Arabidopsis thaliana: one gene and its partners. The protein of the gene in region 1 binds, or shares a complex with, the protein of each later gene. Each region holds a gene or a part of one and is shown in the gene's direction. Other genes may lie near its edges. The genes, in order: MSI1, VRN2 and FAS1.

What was found.
Region 2: MSI1 (region 1) and VRN2 share a complex: the UniProt entries of both Arabidopsis thaliana proteins name them as parts of the plant homeodomain / polycomb repressive complex.
Region 3: MSI1 (region 1) and FAS1 share a complex: the UniProt entries of both Arabidopsis thaliana proteins name them as parts of the chromatin assembly factor 1 (CAF-1) complex.

What each region holds. Positions count from the first base shown.
Region 1 is NC_003076.8:23,551,376-23,559,475, forward strand, and holds MSI1 (Transducin/WD40 repeat-like superfamily protein), read left to right. Parts: upstream 1-4,636; 5' UTR 4,637-4,736; coding exon 4,737-5,081; intron 5,082-5,184; coding exon 5,185-5,511; intron 5,512-5,676; coding exon 5,677-5,829; intron 5,830-5,966; coding exon 5,967-6,091; intron 6,092-6,203; coding exon 6,204-6,299; intron 6,300-6,390; coding exon 6,391-6,619; 3' UTR 6,620-6,870; downstream 6,871-8,100. Other genes in the region: AT5G58200 (Calcineurin-like metallo-phosphoesterase superfamily protein), read left to right, coding at 66-137, 248-597; AT5G58210 (hydroxyproline-rich glycoprotein family protein), read left to right, coding at 1,052-1,082, 1,179-1,338, 1,461-2,016, 2,109-2,380, 2,547-2,670; TTL (transthyretin-like protein), read right to left, coding at 3,171-3,604, 3,781-3,937, 4,023-4,124, 4,205-4,486; FHIT (FRAGILE HISTIDINE TRIAD), read right to left, coding at 6,974-7,093, 7,166-7,264, 7,367-7,515, 7,682-7,796, 7,879-7,938. UniProt on the Arabidopsis thaliana protein: Core histone-binding subunit that may target chromatin assembly factors, chromatin remodeling factors and histone deacetylases to their histone substrates in a manner that is regulated by nucleosomal DNA.
Region 2 is NC_003075.7:9,471,551-9,479,650, forward strand, and holds the start of VRN2 (VEFS-Box of polycomb protein), read left to right. Parts: upstream 1-4,518; 5' UTR 4,519-4,657; intron 4,658-4,990; 5' UTR 4,991-5,157; coding exon 5,158-5,283; exon of another isoform or gene 5,284-5,453; coding exon 5,454-5,509; intron 5,510-5,679; coding exon 5,680-5,747; intron 5,748-5,844; coding exon 5,845-5,897; coding exon of another isoform or gene 5,898-5,919; intron 5,920-6,114; coding exon 6,115-6,168; intron 6,169-6,251; coding exon 6,252-6,311; intron 6,312-6,393; coding exon 6,394-6,437; intron 6,438-6,535; coding exon 6,536-6,666; intron 6,667-6,829; coding exon 6,830-7,016; intron 7,017-7,133; coding exon 7,134-7,182; intron 7,183-7,377; coding exon 7,378-7,461; intron 7,462-7,558; coding exon 7,559-7,638; intron 7,639-7,756; coding exon 7,757-7,846; intron 7,847-7,934; coding exon 7,935-8,100. Other genes in the region: AT4G16830 (Hyaluronan / mRNA binding family), read left to right, coding at 1-95, 196-351, 438-488, 570-758; AT4G16835 (Tetratricopeptide repeat (TPR)-like superfamily protein), read left to right, coding at 1,213-2,772, 2,843-3,253; AT4G16840 (uncharacterized protein), read left to right, coding at 3,364-3,610, 3,799-3,815. UniProt on the Arabidopsis thaliana protein: Polycomb group (PcG) protein. Plays a central role in vernalization by maintaining repressed the homeotic gene FLC, a floral repressor, after a cold treatment.
Region 3 is NC_003070.9:24,320,126-24,328,225, reverse strand, and holds the start of FAS1 (chromatin assembly factor-1 (FASCIATA1) (FAS1)), read left to right. Parts: upstream 1-4,134; 5' UTR 4,135-4,346; coding exon 4,347-4,805; intron 4,806-4,928; coding exon 4,929-5,028; intron 5,029-5,109; coding exon 5,110-5,257; intron 5,258-5,339; coding exon 5,340-5,463; intron 5,464-5,594; coding exon 5,595-5,959; intron 5,960-6,040; coding exon 6,041-6,346; intron 6,347-6,867; coding exon 6,868-6,949; intron 6,950-7,025; coding exon 7,026-7,163; intron 7,164-7,427; coding exon 7,428-7,841; intron 7,842-7,915; coding exon 7,916-8,053; intron 8,054-8,100. UniProt on the Arabidopsis thaliana protein: Component of the chromatin assembly factor complex (CAF-1) involved in chromatin assembly following DNA replication and DNA repair. Assembles histone octamers onto replicating DNA in vitro.

The sequences.
Region 1 (8,100 bases):
TATTGGTCTAGTCTTACGCCAATCAGGTTTAACATATAAATATTAAGTAGCGGTTTTCTTTGCAGGTCTTGGTTGGCAAGCAGAGGATATATGTGGAAAAGACTGGGGGGCTGAAGGCGGTGACCATGGTGATCCAGGTGAAATAATTTACCATCTTTTCAATTCGGCATCAGTAGCATTTCCCATGTTTTAGACTCCAAAATGCTGATTGTAGTTAGTTTGGTGAAATCTCATTGTAATGTTTCAGATCTAGAGCAGGCGATACGACAGTTGAAGGAGACGACTAAGTTGTCGATTCCTTTAGTTGTGTTTGGGCACATGCATAAGGAGCTGCAACGGGGGAAAGGAAATCGGAAAATGGTAGTGCAAGATAGTGACAACCAGACTGTGTATGTGAACGGTGCAATAGTTCCAAGGGTTAAAGAGGCAAAGAAAAGAGGAGCAGCAGAGTCTGAGAGTGGTGGCACAACAAGAGCTTTCACATTGGTGGAGATTTTAGATGGGAAAATCAAGAAAATAGCAGAAATTTGGGTACATGTAAATGGAAGTATGGCTAAGATTGTGGAGGAAAATACTTTGTTTGAAGATGTAACCTGATTTGAAATTTAAACAATTAATTCGGGACAAGACTGTAATAACTAATTATACATTTGTCTTGGCGAACAAGTCCCTTTTAGAAAGCATAGCTATTAAATTAATAGTAGGGAAAATTATTTACGAAATTATTTGGTAAAAGAATTTGGGAGAACAAACTCCGGTCGGCGCCGTGTTTTAGAACCCTACTTGTTGTTCTTCCTTCTTAATCGCTCTCCGGTCGGCGCCGTGTTTTTCGCGTCTCTCTCAAACTCCAATTCTCTATTTTCCGACCAACAGAGAGTAGCGACTGGTTATTTTCTGTAAATTTCTGATATTTATCGCTTTTTCTCTGGGGGTTTTCTAAGGTTTTACTTGGAATCCAAATCGATGTTTATTGTGATGTTTAGCTAGTTATGGAATTGTTGGGTGGAGTTGTTCGCAGTGACGTAGAAGTAGCATACTCTCGAGTGCAGTGATGATTCTGAAGCAGCTGAAACAATTTACCTGTAACAAAGCTAAACCCTTTTTACTCATGTTTCCTTTCAATGTCTGAAACTTGTTTGCTGAATGTTTTTTTTTCCAACCTTGATGTCATTTTGCAGTGTCTGCTACTCGCAGAAATGCTGTTTTCAAAACTGATGTTAAACGGCTTGCAAGGTTCTATGGCTCTCCTGCTGTTTGCGAATCTTTAACAACATCTAAAATTCCCAAAAGACTCTCAAAAGATGATCGGCGAGCTTTGGTGGAGTCCTTTGTCAACGAGTAATTCTTTCTCCATCGATTAGTTTTCCCATATTCTGTAGAGGTTCACATGTCAACTAGATAGCAATATGTGCAGCTGTATGAATCTCAAGGTCCTGAACATAGGTACTGTTTGTTTGCAGATACAGAGCAACTAATGCTGGTAGATTCCCTTCATTGGATGCTACTCACAAGCAAGTGGGAGGCTCTTATTACATTGTCAGGGACATCTTTCAAGAGCTGAAACTCAAACCAAAAGCACATATGCCAATCGTAGCTAAAGCCCTCTCAGAAGTCTCTTCTTCTGTACCAGGTGATGCTTCCTCACACTCCTCTCCAGCACCTGTGCCAACCGTTGAAGCTAAAGCCCTCTCAGAAGTCTCTCCTTCTGTACCAGCTGATGCTTCCTCACACTTGTCTCCATCACCTGTGCCAATCGTAGAAGCTAAAGCCCTCTCAGAAGTCTCTCCTTCCGTACCAGCTGATACTTCCTCGCACTTCTCTCCAGCACCTGTGCCAATCGTAGAAGCAGAAGCCCTCTCAGTAGTCTCTCCTTCTGTACCAGCTGATACTTCCTCACACTTCTCTCCAGCACCTGTGCCAATCGTAGAAGCTAAAACCCTCTCAGAAGTCTCTCCCTCTGTACCAGATGATGCTTCCTCACACTTCTCTCCTGTGGTTGTTGAACCTGAGTTTCAAGTAAAGAAAAAATCTTGCTTTGGTGTGATCAGTTTAATTTCCTTAGGCTTCAGTTATCAATTGGCTTAGTTATCCTTGTTTCTGTTTCACAGGCTGGCAGTGTGGATATTGAGATAGGAAGTGAGCAGAGGCCGGATATAATAGATACTTCTCACTCTAATTCTGATGATGAAAGTAATTTCCAGGGCAACAACCTTGTCATTACTGCAAAAGATGACAAAAGAGAAACAGAGGCAACTCAGGGAATAGAAAACTCGGAGACTGATGAAGAGAGGAACTTGACGCACTTAGGCAATCAAGAGTCAAAAGCAGACCATCTTGAAGGAGCTGATGTTTCAGCAGATGTTGTGCCTACTGAGACCAGGTATCAAATGCATACAACTAGGTCTCTTCTTTACTGGTCCGATCCTTATATTAGGATAATTTACTTCATTGATGGATCTCTTGTTTTTGAGTAATAGAAAAAGTCATTCAAGTTGATCATATTGGCACCACTTCAGTTTGAATTCTTATATCTTTTGTTTTTACAGACAAATTTCAGAGACAGGAGCCGGTGAGGTGAAAGAGACGGAAACTGGTGAGGTGAAAGAAAGGTCAAGTTCGTGGAGCAACATAATGTCATTTGCGAAAGAATTTGCGAACTTTTGGAGATGAGGGTAGATATAGCCAGGGAGCTTTAGACACGCTCAGGAAGGGTAGGTAGAGGTGTGTAAAGTATACCAGTAGAAGCTGTTTTGTTTTGACATTTTGCGCAAAGGTTTGGAATCGACCAAGATGTCTTAATCTAGACTATTATTGTCCTGCTGGCTATGAGTCTAGATTAAAACACACAACAGTTTTAGAGGCTTGTTTTGTGATCGACCATTTTGTACAAAGGTATAGAATCTCCCAAGATGTTTAACATGGTAATCTATACTATCGTTGTCCTACTCACAATGAGTCTAGATCAAAGCTCGTATTTTCGCTAATTCATTGTTTGTTCTACAGAACTACAAATCCAAATAAATACTCGAATAGACATTATTTCATAGCAATTTTTATACATGTCGAATAAAGACTTCATTTCATAGCAATTTTGATACATGTTCCCGTAGTGGTACAACCAAAACAAAATGTGTTGGAAAGTTGGTGCCGCAGACAGCAGTAGCATAGCTCTAGCTCCCACGGTATGTGGAGAAAGAAAAAGGTGCAAGCAACAGTGGGACATGGAAATGCTCCCATTTCTGTGATTCTGTAACCTGAAATACAATGGAAACATAGGGAAAGAAGCAGCCTGGGGAATACTTTGCAGTGTCGAAGCTAATCCTATATGTCCCTGGATTCAAAGCGTCAACCAAATCCATCAGTGGCCCACTGCGCCCATCTCTATCAGTAGCTGATGTGCCCACACTGGACCAGACCCCACCACCTCCATGAACAAAGGAAGGACCGGTAGTACCACTCCACACTTCTAAGTGCACTTCAACACCTGCAGCTGGAGCACCACGTGAGACGTCTAAGACATGAGTCGTGATCGGTGGCCTACTTCTCTTGGGAGCTTTTGCTTCAGCTGCAACATTCAAATGCCCTCCAATGATTCTCAGACGATCTTACAAAGCGAGAAAGTAGAAAAGGTCACACAGATAACAAAGATAGCCATAAGGGTAAATCCTTGTATTCCAAAAGACACATACTTGATATCATACTGAATCCTAACAGGTTCAAACCCACACAGTCAAACACAAAACTTTGACAAGGAAAAGATTTGGTAAATCATCAATATACCTTGAGGTTTTGTTGAAACAGGAGAGCTAGAGCTGTCAGTTTCTGATATAACTTTAGCCTTATCGGAGAACAGCTTTGCCATTCGTAGCTCTGTTATTTTCATTTGTTCCATAGCAGCAATCTCAAGCTCCACTATTGGCCTATTTTCATACCTTTCCTGAAAAAGAGACGATTTGATGAATATGTAACTTTCTCATTCACTCACACTCAACAAAAACTGATTTGGAAATGCAAAAGTTGACCTTTAACGCATGGAGCATCTCAGCGTGAGTCCTGCCAGAAGCGCAAATAATGAAGATAAAGCCAAACTTCTTTTTGTAAAGTACATTCCATTCGGCAAGCTCCTAAGAAATTGAAAACAATTGATCATCAGAAGAAGAAATCACTGAAGAGATGAAGGAAAAAAAAAGTGAAGATCCATCACCTGTAAAGCAGAAGCAGAAGTTGTGGCAAAGGCGGTTGACTGTTCTGATACGCTCCGACGAGCAAAATCGGAGTTGATAGAAGGTGAAGGAGTATTCCCAATCTGAGGATGAGCAGAGAAAGCTTCAAGCCAATCTGTCACATTAACTTGGTTGAACCAGATGTCTCTTGCAGTATATATTGCTTCTTGAGAAGTTAACGGTCCAGACGTAGACATCTGCTTCGCGAATTCGGAGCTTCCACAGCAAACCTTCCATTCATCTTCTCCGATCTCCATCGCCATTTTTTCTCTCTTTTCTCCAATCCTCACTTCTGTTGACTGGTGTAAGATCAAAAGTCATCTAATTGGGCCTTTTCATAAACGGGCTTTTCAAAAATGGGCCTTTTCTTTATCTTCTTCCTTTTTTTATTCATCATCTTCTATATGTGAATTATTCAGAAACAGAAGCGAGAAGTTTCTTACAATTTGTAAAGAGATCTGTTTTAGGGTTTTGCCTTGTTCTTGTGGCGGGAATAACAAAGACATCGCCGATATGGGGAAAGACGAAGAGGAAATGCGAGGTGAGATCGAGGAGCGACTAATCAATGAAGAGTACAAGATCTGGAAGAAGAACACTCCTTTCCTCTACGATCTCGTTATTACTCACGCTCTCGAGTGGCCTTCACTTACTGTTGAATGGCTTCCTGACCGTGAAGAACCTTCCGGTAAAGACTACTCCGTTCAGAAGATGATTCTCGGTACCCATACCTCCGAGAGCGAGCCCAATTACTTGATGCTAGCCCAAGTTCAGCTTCCTCTTGACGATACCGAGAGTGAAGCTCGTCAGTACGATGATGACCGCTCTGAATTTGGTGGCTTTGGCTGTGCAACTGGAAAGGTGCGATTTTTTATTTTTGTTTCTCATTTCCAACTTTCTAGATTTGATTCTAGGGTTATAACGAGGTAAAGGATGATAAATGTTAGTTTGATTGCTTGTGTAGGTACAAATTATCCAGCAGATAAATCATGATGGTGAGGTTAATCGAGCTCGCTATATGCCTCAAAACCCTTTCATAATTGCTACCAAGACAGTTAATGCGGAGGTCTATGTTTTCGATTACAGTAAGCATCCATCTAAGCCTCCTCTTGATGGGGCTTGTAATCCTGATTTAAAGCTTAGAGGTCACAGCTCTGAGGGATATGGTCTCTCTTGGAGTAAGTTCAAGCAGGGTCATTTGCTTAGTGGCTCTGATGATGCTCAGATCTGCTTGTGGGATATTAACGCTACTCCTAAAAACAAATCTCTGGACGCTCAGCAGATTTTTAAGGTAATGCTTTGGATTTCTATTCGTTTTTAGTTTTGTTTTGTATCATCTAGAAAGGAAGGAATTGCACCCACTTAACGGAATCAGTTACACTTATGAAAGCTCATAGATAGATATTCAGGTTGGTTTCTGTGTTTTCCTTGCTGATGATTATTTTCTGAACTTAAGGCTCATGAAGGGGTTGTGGAAGATGTTGCATGGCATCTGAGACATGAGTACCTGTTTGGATCAGTTGGAGATGACCAATACCTTCTCATATGGGATCTGCGTTCTCCATCTGCCAGTAAACCAGTACAGTCTGTGGTTGCTCATTCGATGGAGGTGAGTTTGCAATATATTAGCTTTAGATACAGATAATACTTCTGGTTTTTAAGCTTGCTTTCCTTAACACTAAAAACCATTGAATCATATTGCCTCGTATGTATTTGCTAATTGTTGAGTTGTTTGAAATGCCTTAGGTTAACTGCTTAGCCTTCAATCCATTTAATGAGTGGGTTGTGGCAACAGGATCAACTGACAAGACTGTTAAATTATTCGATCTACGGAAGCTAAGCACCGCTCTTCACACATTTGATAGCCACAAGTAAGAATGATACGCCATAAATATTGCCGCTTTGAGATGGATTTTGTGTTACTAAGAAGTATTTACAAGTTACAGCAACATCACTAACCTTAATTATGTGCTTGATCTCCAGAGAGGAGGTTTTTCAAGTTGGTTGGAACCCAAAGAACGAGACTATTTTAGCTTCATGTTGCCTTGGTAGAAGACTTATGGTTTGGGACCTTAGCAGGTTTGGGCCGTAGACTTTAGTTCTTTAGTTTAATGTTCATGTATGGTCATGGAGGAGCAATATTGATATGTTTGAGGGTGTCTTATGATAGGATCGATGAGGAACAGACAGTGGAGGACGCAGAAGACGGCCCACCTGAGCTGCTGTTTATTCACGGTGGTCACACTAGCAAAATTTCAGATTTCTCGTGGAACCCTTGTGAAGATTGGGTTATTTCCAGTGTTGCTGAGGACAACATACTCCAAATATGGCAAATGGCTGAAAACATCTATCATGATGAGGATGACGCTCCAGGGGAAGAACCATCAAAAGCTTCTTAGCTTGTTATTTAGTATCCAAAGCGCACTGATCTTATGGGACAGTATTTATTTATACATCTCTGCTATTGTTTAGTTCAAGTATTTAGTGTTCATTGTGTAAAATGAGGCATGAGAGGATGGTAGCAAGTGGGAATTTTTCTTTATAACATGAAGGAGTTGATTCTAATCTCACTAAGTAGTGTCAACCAAAGCTATAACTCTTAGTTTATACCCAGATTGGGCGACATTAGAAAGAAATTACAAATTTGAATCAAAGTCTCTGACATAAAATTTCAAACTGAAAGTCACTTGTCACAATGGTCCTTATTAAAGCTACTGGATAGCTTGGTTTGATTTGATATTGATAAATGATAACTAGCAATCGAAAAGAGATCTGTATTGGGAAGCCTCGTCAGCCATCTCCTGAATGCTCCTATCAACCCGGTCTTTATCTAGATCAAGCTTCTGCTTCAGTTCCTTCTCCTTCTCATCAAGCTACAAGAAGATACCACCATAAGATTTGTATAAAACCAAAGCTAGGAATGTGATCAAAATGCAACAACTTACAGCATCATAGATTTCATCATTCTTCTCAAAGTCACCACCTTTACGAGGCAAGATATGAATGTGTACATGGGGAACAGTCTGTCCCGCTTGAGGGCCATCCTAAGCCATTTTCATGAAACCAAAGTTAGATCGTTTCAATTCCAATCCATTAAGATTTAGACGCAAGAAACAATGACGAAAGAAAGGAGATGTTTAGTTTACTTGGATGGCTAATGTGAGAGAAGACGCATTATGGAAGGTCTCAAGCTTAGAGCCAACCTTCTGAGCAGTAAGCCACAGGTCACTGGTCTCATCAGCTGTAAGATCAGTAAATCGTGGCACAAGGCGTCTCGGGCAGACAAGAACATGTGCTCGTCTGGTTAAAGTCATCCAATAGAACTCAATTTACAAAACAAAACCGAAAAATGAAGAACACACAAAAAAAAGAAGGATATGACCTGCAAAAAATAGATGAAAAAGAAGGTCAGAAGAAAGTTGAAGAGGTTCGATGAATAATTAGAGAGGAATGAGGCATACCAGGAAGAAGCGGACGGAGATTAACCATGGCATAAGAGAGAGGCGTTGCGTAGAACACTTCACGGGGATCGATTTTGTACGGCCCAAATGCGTACGAAGAACAAGTAGACGACATCTGCAGCAATCAAAACACTCAAAAATCAATCCTTCTAACTTGTAAAGTAGAGACAAAATGTTGGATCGTATAAGGAACTTACCTTTCTCTGACAACGAATACTAGATAAGATCGTCTTCCCGGTTACTTGCAGGTTCAGCATCTCAGCTCCGCCTCCGTCGCCATGAAAGTCACAGTTAACGCCTTTCCCTTTTCTTTCTTACGGGCTTGAAGAAACCCATAACACCTTATTGGGCCATTACTGAAGCCCAAATAACATTAAAATCAATTAAAAATTGAGTTGAGAAAGGGAGAGAGAGAGTGA
Region 2 (8,100 bases), on another chromosome or scaffold:
AGAAGGATGTTGGAGAGAAGCCAGCTGTTGATGATGTAGCTGCTGATGCTAACAAGGAGGATACTGTTGTTGAGGAGAAAGAGCCTGAGGATAAGGTAAACAGAGAATAGAATAGAAATGCTAGGCTCCTCTTTACTATACTGGTATCAGTTTTTTTTATTTTCACTTATTGTTTATTGACTTGTGTTTCTACAGGAAATGACTCTTGATGAGTATGAGAAAATACTCGAGGAGAAGAAAAAGGCACTTCAATCATTAACTACCTCTGAGAGGAAAGTTGATACGAAAGTGTTTGAATCAATGCAACAACTGTCAAACAAGAAGTCTAATGATGAAATCTTCATCAAGCTGGTAAGACATATCATGTATCATTTCTTCATTGTCGTCTATTAACTTGCGTCAATGATTCTAAACCTTTCCTTTGACCTATTTCCCAGGGTTCTGATAAGGACAAACGCAAAGATGACAAAGAAGAGAAGGCTAAGAAGGTTTAAATCATTGTCTGAATTGAAACATATTGTAGAAATCAATAAGTTTGCTTATTGATGTGTGTTCCTGATTGTAAACAGGCTGTGAGCATCAATGAGTTTCTGAAGCCAGCAGAGGGTGGGAACTACTACCGAGGAGGTCGTGGTGGCCGTGGACGTGGTGGTCGTGGCCGTGGAGGTGTTTCTAGTGGCGAATCTGGTGGTTACCGTAATGAAGCTGCACCGGCAATTGGAGATGCTGCTCAGTTCCCATCTCTTGGGGGCAAGTAAGATCCATCCATGATAACGTCCACACTCGTGCATCCTCCTTTAGGATTTTGTGCGAGGATTTACTGTTTACTGGTCTCTCGTTGTCAGATGTAAATAATTAGGTGTCGTCGTCAGTTTTTAGATTTTATGCAAAACTTTACACTTGTTGGTGTTCTTTACTTTTGAAACAGTACACTCTTCTTAATTTTACCATTTTACTCGTTTTGTGTTTGTTGTTTTCTTATTTATGAAACATGTTTTGAGACGGACATATCTAATGTTATCGGGTTTGAGTCTTTACTCTGTCTCCTCTTTTCTCATTCGTGATCGTGTTCATAGATGTTTTAGAATCAGTAATAATTTGACATGAGTTATGACTTATGAATGATTGTCGAATAACGTGGTTGCTATTACATATACCAATGATTCTGTAGGATTTAAACATTTTTTTGTGTTCTGTCGTAAACCATGTAAAATGCTTTCTCGCTTCAACATTCATCAGCCATTTAAACGCTGTAAATTTCGATTCTTTTTGCGTTCCATTGGAAACCCAGATACCATTTTGGTGGAATCATGTTCGTCTTCCTCTTGTTCATCGCCAGAGCCATCTCTGGTTCGTTCCGATTACTTGACTAAACCTTCTGATCAAGACCAGATTTTTCCGTTGAACAAGATAATAGCTAGGTGTGTACGTTCAGGAGATATAGATGGAGCTCTTAGAGTGTTTCACGGAATGAGAGCTAAGAACACCATTACCTGGAATTCTCTGCTCATTGGGATTTCTAAAGATCCAAGCAGAATGATGGAAGCACACCAACTGTTCGACGAAATCCCTGAACCAGATACTTTCTCTTATAACATTATGTTGTCTTGCTACGTTCGTAATGTTAACTTCGAGAAGGCACAGAGCTTCTTCGATCGGATGCCATTCAAGGATGCGGCGTCATGGAACACGATGATCACAGGGTATGCACGAAGAGGTGAAATGGAGAAAGCGCGGGAATTGTTCTACTCCATGATGGAGAAGAATGAAGTTTCTTGGAATGCCATGATCTCTGGATACATTGAATGCGGAGATTTGGAAAAGGCATCACATTTCTTCAAAGTGGCTCCAGTTAGAGGCGTCGTGGCTTGGACGGCGATGATCACAGGGTACATGAAAGCCAAGAAGGTTGAATTAGCTGAGGCAATGTTCAAAGACATGACAGTGAATAAAAATCTTGTAACTTGGAATGCTATGATCTCTGGTTATGTTGAAAATTCTAGGCCAGAAGATGGATTGAAGCTTTTCAGAGCTATGCTTGAGGAAGGAATTAGGCCTAACTCGTCTGGACTAAGCAGCGCATTGCTCGGATGCAGTGAATTATCGGCGTTACAATTAGGGAGGCAAATACATCAGATAGTGAGTAAATCTACATTGTGTAATGATGTAACAGCATTGACGTCTCTGATCAGTATGTACTGCAAATGTGGAGAACTTGGTGATGCTTGGAAGCTCTTTGAGGTGATGAAGAAGAAAGATGTTGTGGCGTGGAACGCAATGATTTCCGGGTATGCTCAGCACGGTAATGCGGATAAGGCTCTGTGTTTGTTCCGTGAGATGATAGATAACAAGATCAGACCGGATTGGATAACGTTTGTTGCGGTTTTACTGGCCTGTAACCATGCTGGACTAGTGAATATTGGGATGGCATATTTCGAATCGATGGTGAGAGATTATAAGGTAGAACCGCAGCCTGATCATTACACGTGTATGGTTGATCTTTTGGGTCGGGCTGGGAAGCTGGAGGAGGCATTGAAACTGATAAGATCAATGCCGTTTAGACCTCATGCTGCGGTCTTTGGGACGCTCTTAGGGGCTTGTAGAGTGCACAAGAATGTGGAATTGGCTGAATTTGCAGCTGAGAAACTGCTTCAGCTAAACTCGCAAAATGCAGCCGGGTATGTGCAGCTTGCGAATATCTACGCATCGAAGAATCGTTGGGAAGACGTTGCAAGGGTTCGCAAGAGAATGAAAGAGAGCAATGTTGTGAAGGTAGAGCGAGTCAAAGTTCGATTCTTTATTCGAGTTACAAGACTCTAATGTATTTACTTGACTGTTTCAGGTACCTGGATACAGTTGGATCGAAATACGAAACAAAGTTCACCATTTCAGATCAAGTGATCGGATTCACCCTGAACTAGACTCAATACACAAGAAACTGAAGGAGTTGGAGAAGAAGATGAAACTAGCTGGATACAAACCGGAACTAGAGTTTGCTTTACACAATGTAGAGGAAGAGCAAAAAGAGAAGCTATTGTTATGGCACAGCGAGAAGTTAGCTGTTGCATTTGGTTGCATAAAACTCCCTCAAGGTTCACAGATACAAGTGTTCAAGAACTTGAGAATCTGTGGTGATTGTCATAAAGCAATCAAATTTATCTCGGAGATAGAGAAACGAGAGATCATTGTAAGAGACACCACAAGGTTTCACCATTTCAAAGATGGGTCTTGCTCTTGTGGCGATTACTGGTGAAAAGAGAAGAGCTTTGACTCTCTCATTGGTCAAACCTGACTGTATTTATATGCGTTATTGTGTGGTAAAGTTTCGACCTTTGACTTGACAAGTTGCCGTTAAGAAGAGAGATGCGTAGATCAGCGAGTGGTTCTAGAGTTTTGGATCATTTTCCGGCGACTTCAAGGTCTCCGCCTCGATCTCAGAGTGTTACAGCAATGGAAGATGATGTGGAGCTGCTTTTGCCTAGGTACGATCCGAATTCTCAAGCGGGGAAGAGAGAGAAATCAAGATTCAGATTTTCAGAAAACGTCATCCATTTGATTCCTCTCATTCTTCTTCTCTGTGTCGCAATCCTCTGGCTCTCCTCTTACTCAGGTAAGCCGAGAAATTGTTTCAATCTCTATGAATCCATAATTGATCTGTGAAACTTAATTAGGGATTTTACAAAGACTCATATGGATATGAGGATCGAGATGTCTCTGCAACGTTAGAATCTTGTGTTGAATTATGGTTTCAATTTGTTCATATAATACTAAATCGGTGATGGATTTGGAATTTGTCAGCAGCGTTAAGGAGTTGAGTTCCAAAAGCAACATGTTGTCTTGTCTCCATGGGAACTCATATTCAGTTTTGGGAAAGGAAACAATTCTTTTACCGCCGGTGATTTTGTGCCGCAAACCATTCGTATTTGTAATTTTTGGTTCTGTAGACACACAAAAGGATCTCTCGTTTTCATGAAATGTATGTTTAATATTTCAGTGATATACATCACACAACTCAAGTAGAAAACACTGATGGTTATCCATTAATCATTCTATTGGTCGAAAAAAAGATTAGTTTCAACTTAATGCCACCTTAGGATTATATGTTCCTGTGAGTTTCAGCTAGCCAACTCAACTAGAGTTAAACAATGGAATCAAAATACATATTCAGTAATTTATTTTAAACTCTGACTATTTATGTAAAACACAAATGGAAATCAAAATTGAAGGTCATGAAGATTCTATTCTTAGTGTGAAAAGTATAGATCAATGATTCTTAATTTCTTCATCCTCCACGCATAGATCAATGGTGAATATGGTTTTAAATCCTCTAATACTCACTGTACTGCCATGGTAGAGTTAAAAAAACAATTTTAGAAATATTAGTGGATTAAGGCATTAAGCTGTCCAAGTTGCTTGTATTTTCTTTTCATTTTATTAATTAAAAAAAAAGTTCAACTATTTATTGACTAATAATAATACGTGTTAAATGGTTATCGGTTTAAAATATGGGCCATAGGCCCAGACTTGAAGAAAAACTTGAAACCCAAAGTTTTATTTTTACTTGTTTTCTTTCTCAGTGAATATCTCCCAATCAAGCTTCTTCAATTTTGCTTGCTCTCTCTCTTACACGGCCAATCGGTGTTTTCGCAGCTTTCAGGTTTGTCTCAATCTCAAATTAAATCGGAGTCAAGTAATAACAATTGATAACCCTAATTGTTTCAATTATATTGTAAGATTTGAAATTTTGCAGTAGATCCGGAATCGTATTCTAGTTCTGGAATCGTTGATCTCGATGGAATTTTTTTTAAGATTTCTTCATACACATTTGGTTCAAAAGATCACATAATTTTATTTTAATTTGATAAGTATGATGATTCTGCTAAGTGGCATTGGATAAAGTTTTCATTTTTGCAATACGTCTAAACTTGTCTATGTCTTGAATGAACTCTCTGAGTTGCTTAAAAAGTCTTGTGCTTTCTTTATTACACAGGCCTCAATACAAGACATTCTATATAAGCATATTGCAGAAGAGGCGGTTCTAATTGTTGCATGGAGTTGAACAATATGACGTAGGGAAATTCTAATTTAGGGGAGGCCTCAGAGTTTGCACTAACTTCATAATCAGCTCTGGACGTTGTTGATTGTATTTGAACAAGAATGTGTAGGCAGAATTGTCGCGCGAAATCCTCACCGGAGGAAGTGATTTCAACTGATGAGAATCTCTTGATATATTGTAAACCTGTTCGACTATATAACATCTTTCACCTTCGCTCTCTAGGCAACGTATGATTTGGCCTTCCTCTCTCATCATTTTAGCTTAGTAATCTTTCATCTCCTGTGTAGATCACCCACTAATAGTTTGAGTTTGCTAAGCTGATTATGGTCTGACTCATGGCGAGTGTGTGCTTCTTTTGTCTCCTAATGTTATTTGAACTTGTTGTTTGTTGTTGCAGCCATCGTTTCTGCCAAGATGCTTGAACTACAAAATTGGGGCAAAGCGCAAAAGAAAGTATGCGTTTCTTCTTGAATGTAGTTGCCACAGTGATATGTTATTTATCTTACTTCTAATATGGAAGCTGATGAACTATTTATCTTTGTTGAGTAGATATGGACATAATGAATGGTTTCTTCTTTGTTCATGCTATACACTTATATTTTACAAAATTGTGTTTTGCTTAGGTCAAGATCTACTGGGATGGTAGTTTTCAACTATAAGGATTGTAATAATACATTACAAAGAACTGAAGGTTAGTCTTTTTCTGTTCTTCGACAAAATTCGATGTCAATGTCTATGTTTCTCTAGATGATTTGTTATTTACTATTTTTTTCTGTATTGTCACGCAGTTAGGGAGGATTGTTCTTGTCCATTTTGCTCTATGCTATGTGGTAGCTTCAAGGTGGGCAACTATTACAACTGAGGTTTCTTCCGGGGCCTTTCATATCTAACACTGTGAAATGCTACTGCCGTTTAATGCTATATACTTTCACTGTTTGGTTACATATTTTTGTGTTTGTTGTTTGTCTTCTTGCTCTTTTTAAACTGCTGAGTGTGTGCTTATCTGAGAAAACATGTTCCAGTTCGAGCTTACAATCCATTGTCTTGTGTCTATGCAGGGGCTGCAATTTCATTTGAATTCATCTCATGATTTATTTGAATTTGAGTTCAAGGTATGTGGTTTTATGGAATTTCTTGTTTTGCCTATGCCGTTAGTAATGAGGTTATAGTTAAAAAAGGGTCTTTCCTATTGTAGCTTTTGGAAGAATACCAGACAGTTAATGTTTCTGTAAAACTTAATTCCTTCATATTTGAGGTCAGTTACTTTAAACTTGGTTAATTGGGAAATCCTATAGCTGGTGAAAATTTGGTTTATATTCCATCCTTATTTGTACTAGGAAGAAGGAAGTGATGATGATAAATTTGAGCCCTTCTCTCTCTGGTAACTCTCAGAACCCCTTGATTAAATACCTTAATAGCAGTAACTCCTTGCTTTTCTTGTCAGTACTTCTCTATAAATCCAACCACAATGTTTTGCAGCTCGAAACCTCGTAAGCGTAGACAAAGAGGTGGCAGAAATAACACCAGGAGACTTAAAGTATGCTTTTTACCGTTGGATTCACCCAGTTTAGCTAATGGCACAGAAAATGGAATTGCCCTGCTGAATGATGGTAAAATCACATCTTCTTCTGTGGTATTCGTTGTGGCTTAGAACTTCATTTTACAGAAGAAGATACAATGTCCTGATTGTTTAGTTTTTGTACTTCTCCTCGCATTCTTCTTGTGAGGGTAATGTTACCAGAACTGATGTACAAAATTAATGGCATGCTACAGGAAACCGTGGTTTAGGATATCCCGAGGCAACAGAGCTTGCTGGACAATTTGAGATGACTAGCAACATTCCACCAGCCATAGCCCACTCTTCTCTGGACGCTGGTGCTAAAGTTATATTAACAACCGAAGCTGTGGTCCCTGCTACTAAGACAAGAAAGTTATCTGCTGAGCGATCAGAGGCTAGAAGGTTTGTTCATCATGACACCCCGTCATCATAATTACCATACCTGTTGTTACAAATGTTCTTCCTATTATGGATAAGTGTTTACTGTACTGCCATATTAACCGAGAAAATTTCTTCCAGCCACCTACTTCTTCAGAAACGCCAATTCTATCATTCTCACAGAGTCCAGGTGATCCAAGTTCCTTCACCTACTTCTTAGGCATTTTCTTTAAATTGCTCATGATGATATCTTATCAAAGCATACTTGGTTTGTTCTCATCTAAATTTGTATTTTGATTCTGTATGTATCAACGCAAAAAAATTATGTCCATGTTGTCTCCGTTTTATTGCCACTAACCAAAAACTGCATGTTTCTTGTGACAAGCCAATGGCGCTTGAGCAAGTAATGTCTGATCGGGATAGCGAGGATGAAGTCGATGACGATGTTGCAGATTTTGAAGATCGCCAGGTATTCCATGATTTCTTTCTGCGTTCATTAAGTAGGCAACAGAAAATGGTATACGATGTAACTTGCTAATGGCTTTTGAAACTTAAAAAAGCTGCAGATGCTTGATGACTTTGTGGATGTGAATAAAGATGAAAAGCAATTCATGCATCTTTGGAACTCGTTTGTAAGAAAACAAAGGTAACTACTTCTCTTACACTTGAACACACACAAAAAGACCTTATGTCTTACATTCCATACCTGTCTAAATGATTCTGCTTATGGAACTTTGAGCTCAAATTATGATTGATGTTTGCAGGGTTATAGCAGATGGTCATATCTCTTGGGCATGTGAAGTATTTTCAAGATTTTACGAGAAAGAGTTGCACTGTTACTCATCACTCTTCTGGTAATATAAGTACACCAAACATATACAGACACATAACTACACTATCAATTTTGTTTCGTTTTTCTGAAAGAAAAATAAAAAATTCCAGGTGTTGGAGATTGTTTTTGATTAAACTATGGAACCATGGACTTGTCGACTCAGCCACCATCAACAACTGCAATACCATCCTCGAGAATTGCCGTAATACCTCAGTCACTAACAACAACAACAACAGTGTGGATCATCCCAGTGACTCAAACACCAACAACAATAAC
Region 3 (8,100 bases), on another chromosome or scaffold:
AACCTACGTTTACAAGTTTTTGCTAAATCTCATTATGTGAAAAACTTGATGTGATTTTGGGCTAGCATAAGGGATCTTGATAGATTTTCTTCTCTTTTTTTCTTCTTCTTCATTTAACCTATCATCTGAATAGAAGTTAGAAGAATCGGTGATTCAAAAGCAGATTTCTTTACCTCTGTGAATTGTAATTCATCGGACTCGAAAAAATCGATCGTCAGTATTCGATGACATTTCTAAATCATATCCTCATGAGTGCCCTTTGTCATCAAATTAATTGCGACACATGTTCTCTAAGCTAGAAGATAATCCTTCAATTATCTTCCCATGTTGGTTTATTATCTGCAAGTCTTAGATTAACTTGTTTTATGTTTGATATTATTCTTTACTCAATAAAGTGAGATGACAAAAAAAATTGCGACTTCTCAAATAATATGTAAGAGATTTTAGATAGTTTAGCTTATAATTAGTCTAATGAAAGTTTATAAAGTTTTGAGAAGAGGATTTCTTTTAATAAGATCCCACATTGAAAGTTTTAAAAAGAAACACTAGTATATAAGAGATATGTGTCAATCCAATTTTTGTCAATTGATATTTAGTTGGACGCATATGAATATATGATACTTAACATCATATCCAAGTCCGAAAACAAGTTATTTGAATGCAGTCCGATTGTCCGGAACTGAATGTCCAACAAAAGCTTGATTTCATTTTGTCGAGATTTAGAAGTACATTATGATGAGTTTTAAAAAAAAAATCTAAAAAACCACGATCTCTTAAGGCATGTGGAGCCCCATATAGATAGATGGAAAAATACTTAATTATGGTCAATCCATTCTTTACTATTTGATTTTGAGTTAAAACTCCAAATAAATTAATATGCTTAACCCCTATACCTTAACCCCAAATCTCGTTGCCTAAAACTAAATCTAAACTTGTTGTGAGTTCTCCAAAAGATCTTGTGCTACAAATTTGAATTAAATTTCATCTCTCCATCATATTTTATTTACTTATGAAGTTAAATGTGTAAACTACGTCAATTATTTTCTGCAACTTAGATTCGCAAAAAATGTGGGGTATTAGTAACATCGATAAAATTAATTATGTGAAGCTAACAACTTACAATTATCTAACTAACTTTATAAGACTTAACACACATAAGTGCTTGTTACGAACACTAAAATGTAGAAGAACCTAAAAGATAGTGAACCCCCACAATCCTTTCTATTAAAAGTGACCCTCAAAATCATCATAGCAACTGAATAAATTCGGTTCATGAGAAATCATAGAATATTACAAGTTTTTTTTTTTTTTTTTTGCGTCTCACGTTTTTGTCGTACTCTATTTCTTAAAAGAATTCTTATTTGTTCAGTCGTCTTGTTCCCATGTGTGTGTGTGTTTATATCTCTTGTGAAGTTGGTGGCTAAAAAATATCAACAGTTCCTGAACTTGGGCCTCAAATTTTTCTTTTCTTCTCTACTTCCTACGTGGATCTAGTCAAAAATTGAGCATCCTTGTTCTAAAAGGATTACTTTAAAATAACATTATATTTTAAAAAACTAGGGAAAAAATTGCCCTGAGAAAACCGTAAGAAAGTTACGTTTTTCGTATATATAAATTTAAATAAATAATATAATATCATGCAATTTACCATGTCATCGGAAAGATATATAATTATATTTATTTAATAAATACAAAATTAATGTTATTTTTATAAAAGCTCAAAAACATTAACGAAACCGTCAGTTTACGATGTTTCCACTTATTATTGTTACAAATAAAATGATAGTCTTTGGGTTATTTAGTTCATATTTTCTTGACATGGAGCGAAAGAAATAAGAATAAGACCAAAAGGAAAATCATGTGGAGGAGAAATTAATAAATAAATTTTAAAAAACGTTTGGAAATAGGAAGTATGTAAAAACGAATATAAAAATAGGAAGTAGTGTAAAACAATCGAATATAAAAATAGAAGAAACGCAACCAAGTAGAGACGTCTCGATACTTTGCACTCATCCAATCCTTTATGGAATCTTCTTCTAATGTTGGCCAAGATGTCTCACTTCACTATCATCAACGTATCTATCTTCATACTCTCTCAATAATGTGAAAGATCTCATTATCTTTAACAACAAGAAAGATCTCATTATTCTTGATAAACTTCAATTCATCATCTCTTCTTTGGACTTTTGATCTTTAAGAAATTAAACATAATTTCAGTCGAACTGATTCCGATTGAATTTGTTGTTGGTTGTCAACATTTTATTTAACGATGATAATATAAATGGAATAAATAAATTATTGACTGCTCCTAAATATAAACTTTTGTGATTCATACGAATGTAATTCGAAGAGAGGTTAAAAACAATGAGATTTTCAATGAGAAAAATAGCATATTTTTTTTTTGGTTCAATAAGTAATAGATTTTTGTTCAGCAAATGTTCGTTAGAAATTATGGAATTTTTATTTATAATATTTTTGAACCCCAAATCAGATAAAATTTTTAAAAAATATTTTTTCACCATAAGTTTTTAATGTTAGAATTATCTTATATTGGAAGTGGAAATGAATGTTAGGAACAAAAGTCTTTAACATAAAAATTTGTGCCTTTAAAATAGCTCTTAACTTTCATCTCCACGTTGATTAATTTAGACCATCCTGTGTTGACGTTGAGTTTGTGATCTTTTTCAATGAAAACAAATATCTAGTGTAATTTTTTTTTTTTTGACGTAATTACTTAGAATATTTAAAAGGGTCTAATTGCACAAGTTTTATGCCGCCATTATGAATAATAGCATAGGTTGGATATTTTAGATAATTTGTTGCAATATAGTGATGTATTGCAATAAATATAAACGTTTAATCGTTTAAACGCACCATTTAGTGTCATAATTTACGTAAATATCGTTTTTAAGGTTCCAACTGCACAAGTTTTTTATGCCGTCACCATAAATGGTATAAGCATGATATTTTCTAGTATAATTTGTTGCAATGCATCACTATTTCCTAAGTTTTTCAAAAACATTATATACAGAATAAATTCAAATAGCATTTTACATTATACTAATTTGTTATTAAGCCTTTAAAACGCATTATTTAGTATGAAGCTATCAATGTATAATGTATCATATCATGCAAATGGCATATCCAAAGGGAGATGAAGAACGTCAGAAGCATGACGAGAGATGCTTGAGCCGTGAGGGTAGCCTCGTGGGAATGAATACAAAAAGCTCACACATAAAAGTAGCATTTTTAATGGCCACCAAATCTTATCACCCTTTTTGGGATATTTTTAAAAAATTTTGAAAATAAAAGAAATATTCTTTATCTGATTCCTATTACTGAAAAGTGAACACTGAATAAAACGTCAGTTCATTGGTTTCTCCTATTTTTACAATTACAGAAAATCATCTCTCTATTTTGTTTTGTTATTTCGTTTAGTACAATGCCGCAAATAAAAACACTAGCCATTTAATAACTCACTTTGTTTGCTTATTGAATTGTCCAACCAATTACTCATTCTTAATTAGTATGACTGTTAGTATCTTTTAGAAGAAAATTAAAGCGAAGAATTATAATTCAAACATTTTTCTAACGACAAATTAACACGCACTACTACCACATCATTCATCATCAATTGATTCCCTCATATGGTCAGTCAACAACATATGCTCAGTGAACAAAAACCTCACCATCTTCTCTCCCTCCCTTTTCTTGCTACAAATCTTCATTTCCTTTCACTTTCTTACCTCGTTCATAAATCGTATCCAAAGTATTATTCGGTTTCATTCGGAGCTCTTGCTCACCATGACCGTATTAGGCTTAAAATTAAAATTAAAATGAGTAATTTCTAGTCTCTATTTATATAACCGCATCCGCATGAGTATTTAAAATTAGTAAATTCTAGTCTCTATTTATATGTCATCCCAATTGTTTCCCCCACTATATTGGGCTTAAAAGAAACAAAAGCAGGCCCACATAGGCCTTCATCTTCTCCAAAACTTGAGTGGCGCCAAACAGTAAAATTGCATTTTTGTCATTTGGAGGCAAATCCACCCGTCAAAACCTTGGCGGGAAAATCAACGACCCTTCTTTTTAGTGAATCCCCAATTTTATTTTTTTATCCTTTTTTTTTTTCAAACCTATCCATCTTCCCACTCCCTTCTTCTTCTTCTTCTCCAAAAACCTAAGAACTCTGAGAAAAAAAAAATCCAAAATCAAAATCACGAAAGGAACAACAAATCTCCACTCAGCTCGTGTTTCTCGCAATCGATTTCTTAGATTCTAGATCTTGTTTCAATTTTCCTGGGTTTATAGATTCCCGAATTTTTCTAGTTTTTTTTTTTGCGATGGACGAAGTTTCGACGGTGAATGAAAATGAGAATCGGAAGACGATGATAGAGCCAAAGAAGCTGAATAAGCGGAAGAGAGAACCCACGGCGATTGAGAATCTAACATCTGAGGAGAAAGAATCTCAGATCTCGTCGTTGAATCTAGAGATGAAAGGGCTTTTTGATTATTTCAGAGAAGTTATGGATAAGAGTAAGAGAACAGATCTGTTTTCTGGATTTAGTGAATGTTCCTCATTGAATTCGATGGTGGCTTTGTTAATGGAGGAAATGAGTTTGCCGTTGTCGAAGCTTGTAGATGAGATTTACTTGAAATTGAAGGAGAAGACTGAAAGTGTTACTATGGTAGCTGTGAAGAGTGCTGTTGTTTCTGTTGGTCAGAGAGTTAGTTACGGTGTGCTTAACGTAGATGCTGATGTTTTGGAGGATGATTCTGAATCTTGTCTTTGGTGCTGGGAGGTAATCTTAGTTTGCTAATCTTACAAGTTTTGATCTTTGAATCTAATGGTAAGTTTGGTGTGGTTTATACTCTTTGGTGATGTCATTTAATGTTTGAGATGTAATGTTTATTTGATGTTGTAGACGAGAGATCTGAAAATCATGCCGAGTTCCGTTCGTGGAGTGTTAAAACTTCGCCGGACTTGTCGAAAGAAGATTCATGAAAGGATTACAGCAGTTTCTGGTAAATGTTGTTTTTAGTGGTGATTCGTATTGATTGTTTGTTTATAAGATGTGAGTGTTTATGCCCTATGTTGTGTTTCAGCAATGTTAGCTGCATTACAAAGAGAAGAAACTGAAAAGTTGTGGAGATCTGATTTGAGTAAAGCTGCTGAGAAGCTTGGTAAAATACTGAGTGAGGTGGATATTCGATCATTCATGGATAACATGATGCAGAAGAACAGCTCAGAAATGTAAGTATCTTCTGTTAGTACTTGGTTTACATTTTATCTCTTGTTTTTCATTCTTACTCAGTTATTGTGTTTGATCGTTAAGGGCTGAGAAAGACTCAAAGAGAGAAGAGAAGCTGCTTCTTAAACAATTGGAGAAAAATAGATGTGAAGCTGAGAAGGAGAAGAAGAGAATGGAACGTCAAGTATTGAAAGAAAAATTGCAACAAGTAAGCTGATCTTTTTCTTCATTGTCTTCTAGAAGTCTTTTCTGGCGCTGTTTATTCTCTTTTAGTCATCTAGGATGTGTTGTTTGATTTCAAAGTCTGACTTCTGACTGAGCATTTGTTCACTGTGACAGGAAAAAGAGCAGAAGCTACTGCAGAAAGCAATTGTTGATGAAAATAATAAAGAAAAAGAAGAGACAGAGTCAAGAAAACGGATAAAGAAACAGCAAGATGAGTCGGAGAAGGAGCAGAAGCGTAGAGAGAAGGAACAAGCCGAGCTAAAGAAGCAACTTCAAGTACAGAAACAAGCTTCAATCATGGAACGGTTTCTTAAAAAGAGCAAAGATAGTTCATTGACCCAACCCAAACTTCCTTCCAGTGAAGTAACTGCTCAGGAGCTGTCATGTACAAAACATGAGAATGAAATTGGAAAAGTTGTTCAGGCAATTGACAACGCCTTTTCAACAACTTGTGAAGCTACAGTTGATGATATTCGCAGGTATGACATTGGTTCTCCTTGTTGATTGATTCTGTGAGGTGTCACTTTGGGTATTGTGATCTGAGTTGTATTTCTTTGTAGGGAACACTTTGCTTCCTGGCGTCAGTTGGGTCATTTGCTCTCGAGTTCGAAAAAACATTGGGGGATGCGTAGGCAGCCTAAGAGTGAACTGTTTCCAAAACTAAAACTATCTACAAATAGTGGAGTAACATCTGACGGTGAACCTAACATGGAGAAGCAAGGGGATGGATGTGAAGAGAATAACTTTGATGGTAGGCAGTGTAAGCCTTCCTCATCTAATCGTAAGAAGTCCAGGAGGGTCAAGCAGTTGTTACAATTTGATAAAAGCTGCAGACCAGGCTTTTATGGTATCTGGCCCAGCCAAAGGTTAGTAATTATTTTGAAAATTTTCATTTCAGCAGTAAGCTTATATAATATAGATTATTAGTTAGCCAAAAAGCCTTGACTAACTGCAAGCTTTCCCCTGGGTTTGTTTGGTACTGTTTTTTGATATTAGCTTTGTTGCGAAACATTTTTCAATTTTCACTGCATAAGTCATAAAGTTTTCCGATGCTGCCTATGTGACTACTTTTTTCATGGTGTTTAATAAAGCAGATGATAAATGACCTATGAAGTAAACATACTTTTACGCTACTTTACCCTGTTCTGATTCCTTAATTAACTAACCATCGTCTATGTTGGATCTGTGGTTATTATCGTCCAATGCATTTCAATTTGGATTGAACAATCATTGTAGTGAACTTGTAATGTACAGAACGTTCTCTGTGATTCTGATACGACAATACCATTTGTTATTCTGATATGCATCTAGCTGTTCAATTAAGTAGTGTTCACTCTCTAAGTTTGCTTACAATGGTACTGAGGGATCTGTTGTTTAACATTTGCAGTCAAGTTGTAAAGCCACGTCGTCCTCTGCAAAAGGATCCAGAATTGGATTATGAAGTTGATAGTGATGAAGAATGGGAAGAGGTAGGTTTATTGAATTCAGTACATGCTTTTTAAACTTGACAAAAGATCACTGGGTAATAAAGATACTTCTTTACAGGAAGAAGCTGGTGAAAGCCTTTCAGATTGTGAGAAAGATGAAGACGAAAGTTTGGAAGAAGGATGTTCAAAGGCTGATGATGAAGATGATAGTGAAGATGACTTTATGGTGCCTGATGGATATCTCTCAGAAGATGAGGTAACAAAAGCAATTTTTAATGAACTCGTCATAGATTCTTATAAATCTAGGTTGCAATCTAGGAATCTGCTGAAGTCAAATTTGCATTTCTTTGTAGTATCCAAACTATTGATCAAGTTACAACTTGAATTCCTCATTCATTCTTATAATTGATCACTCATTTTCTTTGAGCATGTGCCAATTTTGTGAAGGGGATAGTTAACTAAAGGCAGCTACGCTATAACGAATGTAAAGTTTCTTAACAAAGTGTGTTGTTTGTTTCAGGGGGTCCAAGTGGACAGAATGGACATTGATCCGTCTGAACAGGATGCAAATACGACATCATCTAAGCAAGATCAAGAAAGTCCAGAGTTTTGCGCATTACTCCAACAACAAAAACATCTGCAAAATTTAACTGACCATGCTCTGAAGAAAACGCAGCCACTGATCATATGTAACCTAACTCATGAGAAGGTCTCTCTCTTAGCTGCTAAAGATCTAGAAGGGACACAAAAAGTAGAACAAATATGTCTGCGAGCTCTCATGGTGCGACAATTCCCTTGGTCTTCTCTCATTGAGATATCGATCAACGACATTCAAGATGAAGATCAAGAAGCCAGCAAGTTTTCTTGTAGCCAGAGCACTCCTCCATCTAATTCAAAAGCAAAAATCATACCAGACTCAGATTTGCTTACAGTTGTAAGTGGATCTCTCCAAACAAATAACATTGTTTATGTATTGCTACTTAGCCCTAACAAGAATTTGGCGTCCAGGTATCAACTATTCAATCATGCTCTCAAGGTATCAATAGGGTAGTTGAAACATTACAGCAGAAGTTCCCTGATGTTCCAAAGACCAAGCTTAGACAAAAAGTGCGTGAAATATCAGATTTCGAGGATAGTCGTTGGCAGGTTAGTTAATACTTCGATCTTCTATTTTGAGTTTTTTGCCTTGAGAC